Regions from separate parts of the Mus musculus genome. Here region 2 is reported to be linked to region 1. The links are microRNA targets in miRTarBase. Many come from high-throughput screens and were not tested one by one. Region 1 holds a microRNA gene; the other region holds the end of a gene's coding sequence.
The links. The annotated mature microRNA mmu-miR-3099-3p reads UAGGCUAGAGAGAGGUUGGGGA and lies in region 1 at 1,115-1,136, shown strand. An mRNA with a match to its seed (bases 2 to 7 or 8) in the 3' UTR can be bound and repressed. Matches are read on the target gene's strand: a 7mer-m8 pairs with bases 2 to 8, a 7mer-A1 pairs with bases 2 to 7 and ends in A, and an 8mer does both.

Region 2: miRTarBase lists Hccs as a target of mmu-miR-3099-3p. Seed matches in the 3' UTR shown: 7mer-m8 at 1,745-1,751.

The regions. Positions count from the first base shown.
Region 1 is chr7:6,802,524-6,806,922 of GRCm38, forward strand. Mir3099 (microRNA 3099) reads left to right here and starts at 1,064; the gene lies at 1,064-1,147. All of the region lies in intron 2 of Usp29 (ubiquitin specific peptidase 29), which reads left to right.
Region 2 is chrX:169,309,184-169,313,582 of GRCm38, reverse strand. Hccs (holocytochrome c synthetase) reads left to right here. Exons shown (of 7, transcript NM_001331049.1): 7 at 561-2,053. The coding sequence ends at 759. Among named protein-coding and RNA genes, the nearest start is that of Hccs, 9.0 kb to the left of the region's middle.

The sequences.
Region 1 (4,399 bases):
GTCCAATATAGCTGCTACCCCAAATTCCTCTAAAGAGAAAACATAGGAACACCCATTTTTGAAACTCACATAGCCTAAACTTTGACTATTTTTAATTTATCATAACCAGAAAACTATATACAATTACAGTGCGCAACATGATGTTCAAATTACATATATTCTTTGTGTGAGTATCTTCTCAGTCAGATTGGCTTACCTATCCATTATGCATCCATCATTTTTTTTTTAAGAACTTTCAGCAATTTTCTGTTGTTGCTGTCTTTTTTTTTTTTTTTTTTTTTGCGATAGGGTTATTTTGTTCTCTGTGTAGCTCTGGCTGTCCTGGAACTCGCTTTGTAGACTACCAGACTGGCTTTGATCTCAGAGAGCTGCCAGCCTCTGTCTCTGAGTGTTGGGATTAAAGGTGTTCACCAATTTTCAAGTATAAACATAACTCATTACTGATTATCACCACCATGGTGTACAGTAGCACCTTAGAACTTACTTTTCCTACAGAATGAAGACTCCATGCCTGTCAGTCAAAACAAAACAAAACAAAACAACAAATAAATGTGTTGTACAACATCACATTTGTCTCAATTAAGTTCATTACCTTGGCTGTATGATTTTTCCCATCAAAGAAACACATATGAACATCTATTCACGCCTTAAAGGGCATTAAAGATTAAAAAAAAATATTTCACCAGTCTATGTTGGTAAAGCAGTGAATTTGGGGTATAACTTATAGGAGCAAGGATGACCTAGGCAGCTGCATCCCTGAAAAGGCCACACAACACAGGCTATTACCCATGAAACCTGTATCCTGGGAGCTCCCTGCATGATTTGCAGGCAGTGCCACTAAAGAGTCTCCTCTCTCACAGCAATCATTTCCTGCCTTACATAAACATAGGACAGGGCCTTGTGGTGCTTCTAACTTCCTGTGCTTTCTGAGTCTTGTAAGTTATATAAGACTCCTGAGCCTTGGAAGTTTCCTTATCTCCCTCAGTCTTAAAATGTTTCGATTCAGTGGCAATCTCCACAGAACTCTTCCTCCTTCCAAGGGAAACCTCAAGCCTGCTGAACGATCGATCCCCATCCCAGCTTCCTTCCAGCCCTTGATGTTTTAGTACGCACATAGGCTAGAGAGAGGTTGGGGATGGGGAAAGATGAGAGCATCGAATGCAGGATTGAGTGACCACGTGGAGGGAGACTACCCAATGACAATAGAGACCCGAGAACTTCACACTTAGTCCTTTCTCATCTGATGAGAATTAGCAGGAAAACACTGATAACTCAGAGAGCATGAGCCCATACATCTAAGTGGAGCCTAGTAGAGCACTCCTGGAAAGCTCACTAAAGTTAGGGGATGGATGAGGACTCCAAAACTGGTTCCTGATTCAAATGAAGCACCACATGTTGCTAAACCATCGTCTGGCTGACAGCGAATATCTCTTATCCTAGTTGTTCACCAAAGCCCCCACCTTCAGTCATTCATTCTTCTCACTCAATTTCTACCTCTGCCTGCAGGAGAATGAACTTGTCTAAATGACACTTTCCTCATGGGGGTAAAGAGATTTTTCTTTTCTTCTTTTTTCTTTTTTTTCTTTTTAGAGAGAGATTTTTTTTTTCCAATCAGTGAGTTGTTGTTGGAGGACTTGAAGTTTTTAATATGACATCAAAAGGGAGTCAGGAAAATATGGGGAGGGTGTAATGACACCCCCTAACCCGTTGTCTCTTGATCCCTCACTTGGCCTCTGCTTTTGTCAGGAACAGACACTTGCTGCACAGGGGCACCTTATCCATCTTCATGAGACCTGACACTGGCATGGGCACAGGAGGAAGCAGTGGCAGAAAGCATCTAAGATTGGGATATTCCAGATTGTATAGGTAAAAATGTGTAGGCAAAAAAGAGAGGAAGAGGAGAAGGAAGATGAGGAAGAGGAGAAAGAGGAGGAAGAGGAAGACAAAGAGGAAGAGGAGGAGGAGGAGGAGGAGGAAGAGGAGGAGGAAGAAGAGGAGGAGGAGAGGAGGAGAAAAAAGATACAAAAATCCCAACCAAAACAACAACCAAAAAAAAGAAAAAAAGAAAAAGAAAAGAAAAGAAATGAAGGAAGGAAGGAAGCAAGCAAGAAAGGAAGAAAGGAAGAAAGAAAGAAGGAAACTACCAAGTAACTGTCACATCTACCTGGCTATGGCAAGAGGGTAGAACTCAGCTGAGTGACAGAGGAGCTCATTCTTCAGCAACTAGCAGAAATCCAAAGAGTAGACACTAGATTCCTGCAGATTGCCATGCCACAAGCTGCCCTCATCCAGCAAACTGAGCCTTATGAACTTTCAAAACAATCACTAAGAGGTCCAGCTGCTTGTGTGGGTGTATACAGGTAGGACATACTGCAGAGGTAGAAGCAGGAGGTATGTGAGTTTGAGGCCAGCTTGGGCTACAACTATAAAGGCTGGAGAGATGACTCCATGGGTAAAGAGCTGGATATGCAAGTGTGAGGACCAGGGTAAGGATCCCCAAACCCCACATGAAAACTGGATGGACATGGTGGCCTACCTGTAATTCCAGACAGGAGAGCCTCGGGGCAAGCTGGTTTTCATGTCCTGTACCCCTGAAGAAAACTGAATTTCCTACCCTCAGCAACTGTCATTGCCAATAGCTCCTCAGTTAGGAGTGGGACTTCAAGATGCTAAGTTTTAGGTTTCGAGTATCTTACCACAACTTTTAAAAACTGAAATACTCCACCTATGAAAGTGTTTCAATATGGAGAGTTTGTCAGCCCCCTCAGATGGGTGGAAGCAGCTTTTGCTGTGCCCCAGGGAAGGAATGAGAATGCCAACTGGGACGGTCTGAACATCTGTCAATGTGCTCAGGGGCCGTTGAGACTTTTCACCCTCAAATGGATGATCTGTGGGACACACGTTGCCTGACGATGATTTTGTGGGATACAGTCACCCCAGATTTACCTTAGTTTTTGAATGATGTCGCAAATAAATGATTTTGCTTTTTGATAATTAAAAAATTTTTATTGTATTAATACATTAATGTGTGTTATGGCATACATGTGGTATACAGAGGACAACACATAGCAACCTTTTTTATTTCTTATGAAATCTGGGCCCTAGGGATCAAACTCAGACTGTCAGTCTTGAAGGCAAGCCCCCTAAATCCACTGAGCCAGGCTAGCAACACGAGCTTTTATAAAAAGGTCCTTAAGTTATCTGGTTATGAAAAAAATAAGCCTGACAAGCACCTAATAATTTTTTAATTGTTAAATGATTGATTTGTTTTATTTTATGGGTATGAGTGCTTCACCTGCTTGTATGTATGCATACTACACAGATCCCTAATGGCTTTGGAGGCCAGGAGTTATAGATAGTTCTTTGCCACCAAATGGGTTTTGAGAACTGAACCTGGGTACTTGGAAAGATCAGACAGTAGACAGTGCCCTGAACTGCTAATACATCTCTCCAGTCCCCAATCTGTGAAATTCTGTGTTGATGAGAAAAACATAAGCAGTCTTTAGGCCTAGGCTTGGATCATTGGATTCGTCACTTTGTTTTTGTAAATATTTCCCCAAGTATCTTAAAGAATTATTTACAAATACTCATTTGAGTCAAACATACTCACAGGACATTCTAATTCGGTAAGTATAATGTCTCTATGAAACTATTCTCTCTCTCTCTCTCTCTCTCTTTCTCTCTCTCTCTCTCTCTCTCTCTCTCTCAGTGTGTGTGTGTTTTGTGTGTGTGTGTGTGTGTGTGTGTGTGTTTCAAGAATAAATAATCTCTTTTGTCTGGCCCAGTAAACTTTTATTTAAATAATGCATCCTCTGGGTATATGCAGATGTCCATGTTCTACAGGTCTTTCTGTTGTTGGAGGGCTCTCAAGATATTTACCCAATTTTAGAACTGGTGGGGTTGAGAACTATTTGCCGAAAAAACAAAACAAAACAAAATACCCAGTGATATGCAAACTTTGGTGTTTGGAAAAATTAGGCTGGGGACATTGAGTAACTCAGCAGTTAAAAATGCTGACAATACTGAAGTTGGGTCCCTAGGACCCACATGGTTTAAGAAGAGAACTGGCTCCCACAAGTTGTCTTCAGATTTTGACTTGCACGAGGTGGCAAGGCACCCAAAGAGAGGTATGCACAAAAGTAAATAAATAGAATGTAATAAAGATTAGTGTGGCTCTCAGAGAAGCCTATTCCTTATCATCGCTCATCACCCTGGTATTGTGTTTTTTGTAAATATTATTAAAAGTCACACTTGTGGAAAAAAACAAACCTAGAGAAGAGCTAGTCTTTGTCCAGAGTTCCAAATGTACTACTGCTAATCTCAGCAGGTCCCAACCAGAGCTCACAGTCCCTATCAAAATCAGCAAGTCCATCCAAATGAGGAAGGGCTGGCTTCCTTC
Region 2 (4,399 bases), not on the chromosome of region 1:
TGTCAGTGTAGAACTGCTGTTGATATTCCTTAAGCCATGGTTAGCATTCCTATCACCTAAAACAGTGTAGGAAAAGCAATTCCATCTTCCACATCTCCAGTATCCAGCCTATGTTTCTTTCATATCCTTGAGTTTACTCATAGATGGGCAGAATTATAAAGGTTGGGTTGCTGGTTTCATGCTTCACTCTGGAAGGATTGAATTGTTCTTTTTTTTTGGTGTCTTCAGAACTGTCTTTTTACTCCTCTTGTGCTCTTTGTCTTGCCTTACTCCTCCCTTGTCTTATAGTGTAATAGGACTATTAAGTACATTTGATTTCTCCAGCTTTCTACCTAGCCTGGCCTGGCCCTCTTTACCATGAACCTATTCCTTTATAGACATGGATTCATCATAGTTCTTAATCACCATATTCTCTAAACACCATGGACTGATTGACTAAGGCTCATCTCCTCTGCTAGATATTTGCAAATGAGTATGTGCTGTTTTTCACTCTGTCTTTCTGCTACCACCAAGACAGACAGAATACAGACCTGCATTTTAGCAAACTGTTTTCATTACAGGTATGAATTGCCTTTTGACCGCCATGACTGGATCATCAATCGTTGTGGCACAGAAGTTAGATATGTGATTGATTACTATGATGGTGGTGAGGTGAACAAGGAGTACCAGTTCACTATCCTGGATGTGCGTCCTGCCTTTGATTCATTCTCTGCAGTATGGGACAGAATGAAGGTTGCTTGGTGGCGCTGGACTTCGTAACTGTTATTTTGTTTGTTATGAAAAAAGTGAAACTTTTTTCCTGAGAAAGCTGTTAAAACTATTTTCCCCAAACTAAATGCACTCATAATGTCATTGAGGGTACTTTTCGAGTGAGTGATCATATTTGATCTTGTATTTAACAAAGATGCCATGCTCCTTTAAATTTTGAATCACATTTTCCATTGCAGATGATAGGTCAGTTTAATTTTTTTCCCTATTTGGTATAAGTTCCTTAGTTTTCCCACTAAGTCCAGTATTTCATGTTATTTTCTTTAGACATCTTAACAATCTCTGAAAAAGAGGTTTTAAAAGCATAAAAAGTTGTTTTTATTCTTACTGTTTCCTCAGGAGTATTTGAGATATAAAACCTGAAAGTGTGTGATGCTTTTACCTGCCAAATAATTTAACTATATTCATTATAAATAAGAAGCACTTGTTCTTGTTTTAAAAGTAACTAATATTTCTAAAATCCCTTTGGTCTGAACAAAATATACAAGTATATACCGAATGAAGTCTGCAAGACTGATATGTCTATGTTTAAATGTGATTTCAGATTTGACCCTGATAGAAATTTCAACTTGATACATAAAAATTTCAAAATACTTGTTTTTTCAATTCTGTCCCAATATGTAACTATCAATGAAAAGCTGATCACACCATCCCTAGAAGATGACAAATTATCTTATCTCATCCCATTCCCTCTTCCTACTTGGAGCTTGCCACCAGTCGTGTAATGTAAACCTTGAGAGCCGGGCTCCAATCACAGTGCCAGAAGTGTTTCTTTGACGAATAAGATTATATTTGGCTAAGTGTTAGAATTCACAAGAAGTGCATTTTTTTTCAGATATGAAATGTTTGCACCAATTCACCATCATTTTGATGTTTTAAGCATGTGCTGAGTTTGCTGTTGAAAACTGGTTGTTTTGCTGGGCAGTAGTAGCACAAGCCTTTAACCCCAGCATTCCATAGATCTCTGAGTTTGAGACTAGCCTGGTCTACAGAGTGAGTTCCATGACAGCCAGAAAAATCCTCTCTCTAAAAAAACAAAAGAAAAAGAAAAGAAAACTGGTTGTTTTTATTTTAATTATAGCAACACCTTAGAAATAGCTTTTTCTTAAATGTTGATAATATGAAAAATATTTAATTTATCTTAAATACTGTAACATTTAGTGGACAGAATTTGTGTTTTTGAGTTATTTGACGTAGATTTCTTTGTTGTATGATGCTTTAAAAATCTAACATGTGAAAATATTTGTATTTTTTAAATAAAGCTGACAGTTAAAAGGTTCTGAAACTTCTTAGAGTGATTTTTGTAGTTACTTAATTTTTGAGATAAAAATTTATCTTTACTAAATGCAGCAGTGGTCTCATCTGTTAATCACATAATTTTAAACTGCATAAGAATGTAATCTCTTTTGGCCCTTCTCAGGTCACAACTGGATTAGGACTGGAAAGTAAATTAAAGTGTATAGTGACAGGGTATTGTGAAAGTCAACTGTCGTATAAACTCAATTATTAAGATCAACAATTTTTCCTATGCCCTTTCACCACTTCTAGAAAAGATACCTGCTGAGTACTGAGTTGCTTTGTGGCTAGGTTACTGAGTACTCAGGATTGCTTCGTGGCTCGATTCTACTTCAGTCTGCCTAGGGAGTAAAACTTCACTGCTCTGATGGCTTTTATATAAGTTGAAATGCATTCTGGATCACCTCCCACATTTTAAACTTAAGTTTTATCTGTGGAGATGACGTCATTCAGAATCAGTTTTGGCAGTAAAGGTATGTGCAAACTGAGTTACATGTTAGCTCTTAGTATTTCTCTGAACTCATTAGCTGTCATTTGTGAGATGCTGATGTTCACTTTGCATCATACTCAGGACAGAAGATGGCCAACGATCATCCCCTGCCTACAGAAACACAACCTTTCAGAGCTCAGTCCGTAAACAAAATTACAGTACTGTAGAATTCATATTTTAAAAACTCTAAGGTAATGATGGGGGGTAGGGATACATATAAGTACATTTCAATATAACTACTGTGATTAGTCAGGTTGACAGGATTCAAATGACATGGGAAGTGGAACTTGGTGTGCCTGTGGGGGACGATCTTGATTACTTTTAACTGAGGTGGGACTATTCAGCCACCTTGGGCTGCACCATTCATATCCTGTACTACATAATTGAAGAAAGTGAGCTGAACACTGGAAACCAAGTATGCACCTCTCTGTTTCTGGACTGTGGGCATAAGGTAACTGGCTGCTTCAGGCTCTTACTGCTTTGACTTCCCCACCAGGATGAATGGCCTTGAACTGTGAGCCAAAACCCTTTCTCAAGTTGCTTTATCAGGCTATTTTATCACAACAGGAAAGGAAACCGACATTTGCCAATATTTTTGGTCCCTGATATGTTCACCCTCTAGTGGAGTTATTGCTCCCCATTGAAAGTGAAGTGCTCTGTATTTATTTCCTTTCTTGTCCTTGTCATGACTGTCAAGCCATGTTCAATCATTGCTATTGCTAAAGGTTTGAGGCGCTTTGTGATTAAGAGGGCATACCCTGAAGACTGGTGGTTTGTTCCAGTTTTTGCTTTACTTGCTCAGTGACATTTTTCTTCTGGGCCTCTGATTTCATGGTTGTAAAATGAGAAAATGAGCAGACAGTTGGTTTACAAGTTCTGTGAAGTGATCTGTGTGCTTTTGGGGCAGACTCCTGGGTAGAAAAAGCTTAACAGCCATCCACACGGTTGACAGTGGCCGTCACAGAGAGATTGTGAAGCAAGGCTAGAAGTCAGAAGTGCTGAGACATTCCACAGGACGAGTCTGGAAAGATCAGGAGGTTCTTCTGATTTGTGTCAATTTTAAGTATTACTGGGTACTCAAAGTATTACAATAGATGCTAAGCAACCTCATGTTATCTTTAAAAAGGCTAAGGGGAATAAAGGATGCGTAGACATAAATTGATAGTTAATATGCAAGTCCTACCTGACAAAGGTAATTAAGTGCCTGGATTTCCTAATCTAAAACATTAAGCAGTGCACGACACAGAAACCAGCTTCATAAATAGAATTTAGGTAAAGCCCATTAGCCATCAAGAATGTTGTCATGAAGCTGGCAACAACTGGAGAGGGGATCAGAAATTCAAGTTCTTTCACCGCTCTCCAGGGTTTTCTTAAACATTCTTGCTATAAAAATGGACTGAAATTAAAGATGGTATATCCTGTGTGTGGGTGACATAAGGAATAAACGATTGCTGGCACACATCACCTGGGAAAGCCAGTGGCCTTTGCTCCTTGTCCAACTAGTGACCGATGAGCTTTATGGCCTGTCAGTTAAAATCTAACATGGAATCCCTTTACAATTTCATTTTAGCTGCGTTTTTAAAGCAGGGTATGGAATTGTGTAAGGAGATTAGTGTATGAGGGCATTCTTGGAGATTTTGCTGCCTCTCTCACCTCGTCTGTGTTTGCTTTACCAAAGGCACTTCTTAAATGTTTTACAGATCAGACTTCTCTGGAAGTCTTGGTAAAATGCAGATGACTGACTTCCCATGGAGGGCCCGTCATCTTGTAGGCCTAGAACAGCTGGGACTTTATGTTTTAACAAGCTCCCAGAAGATACTGATGCTATTGGTCCAGTCACCATGT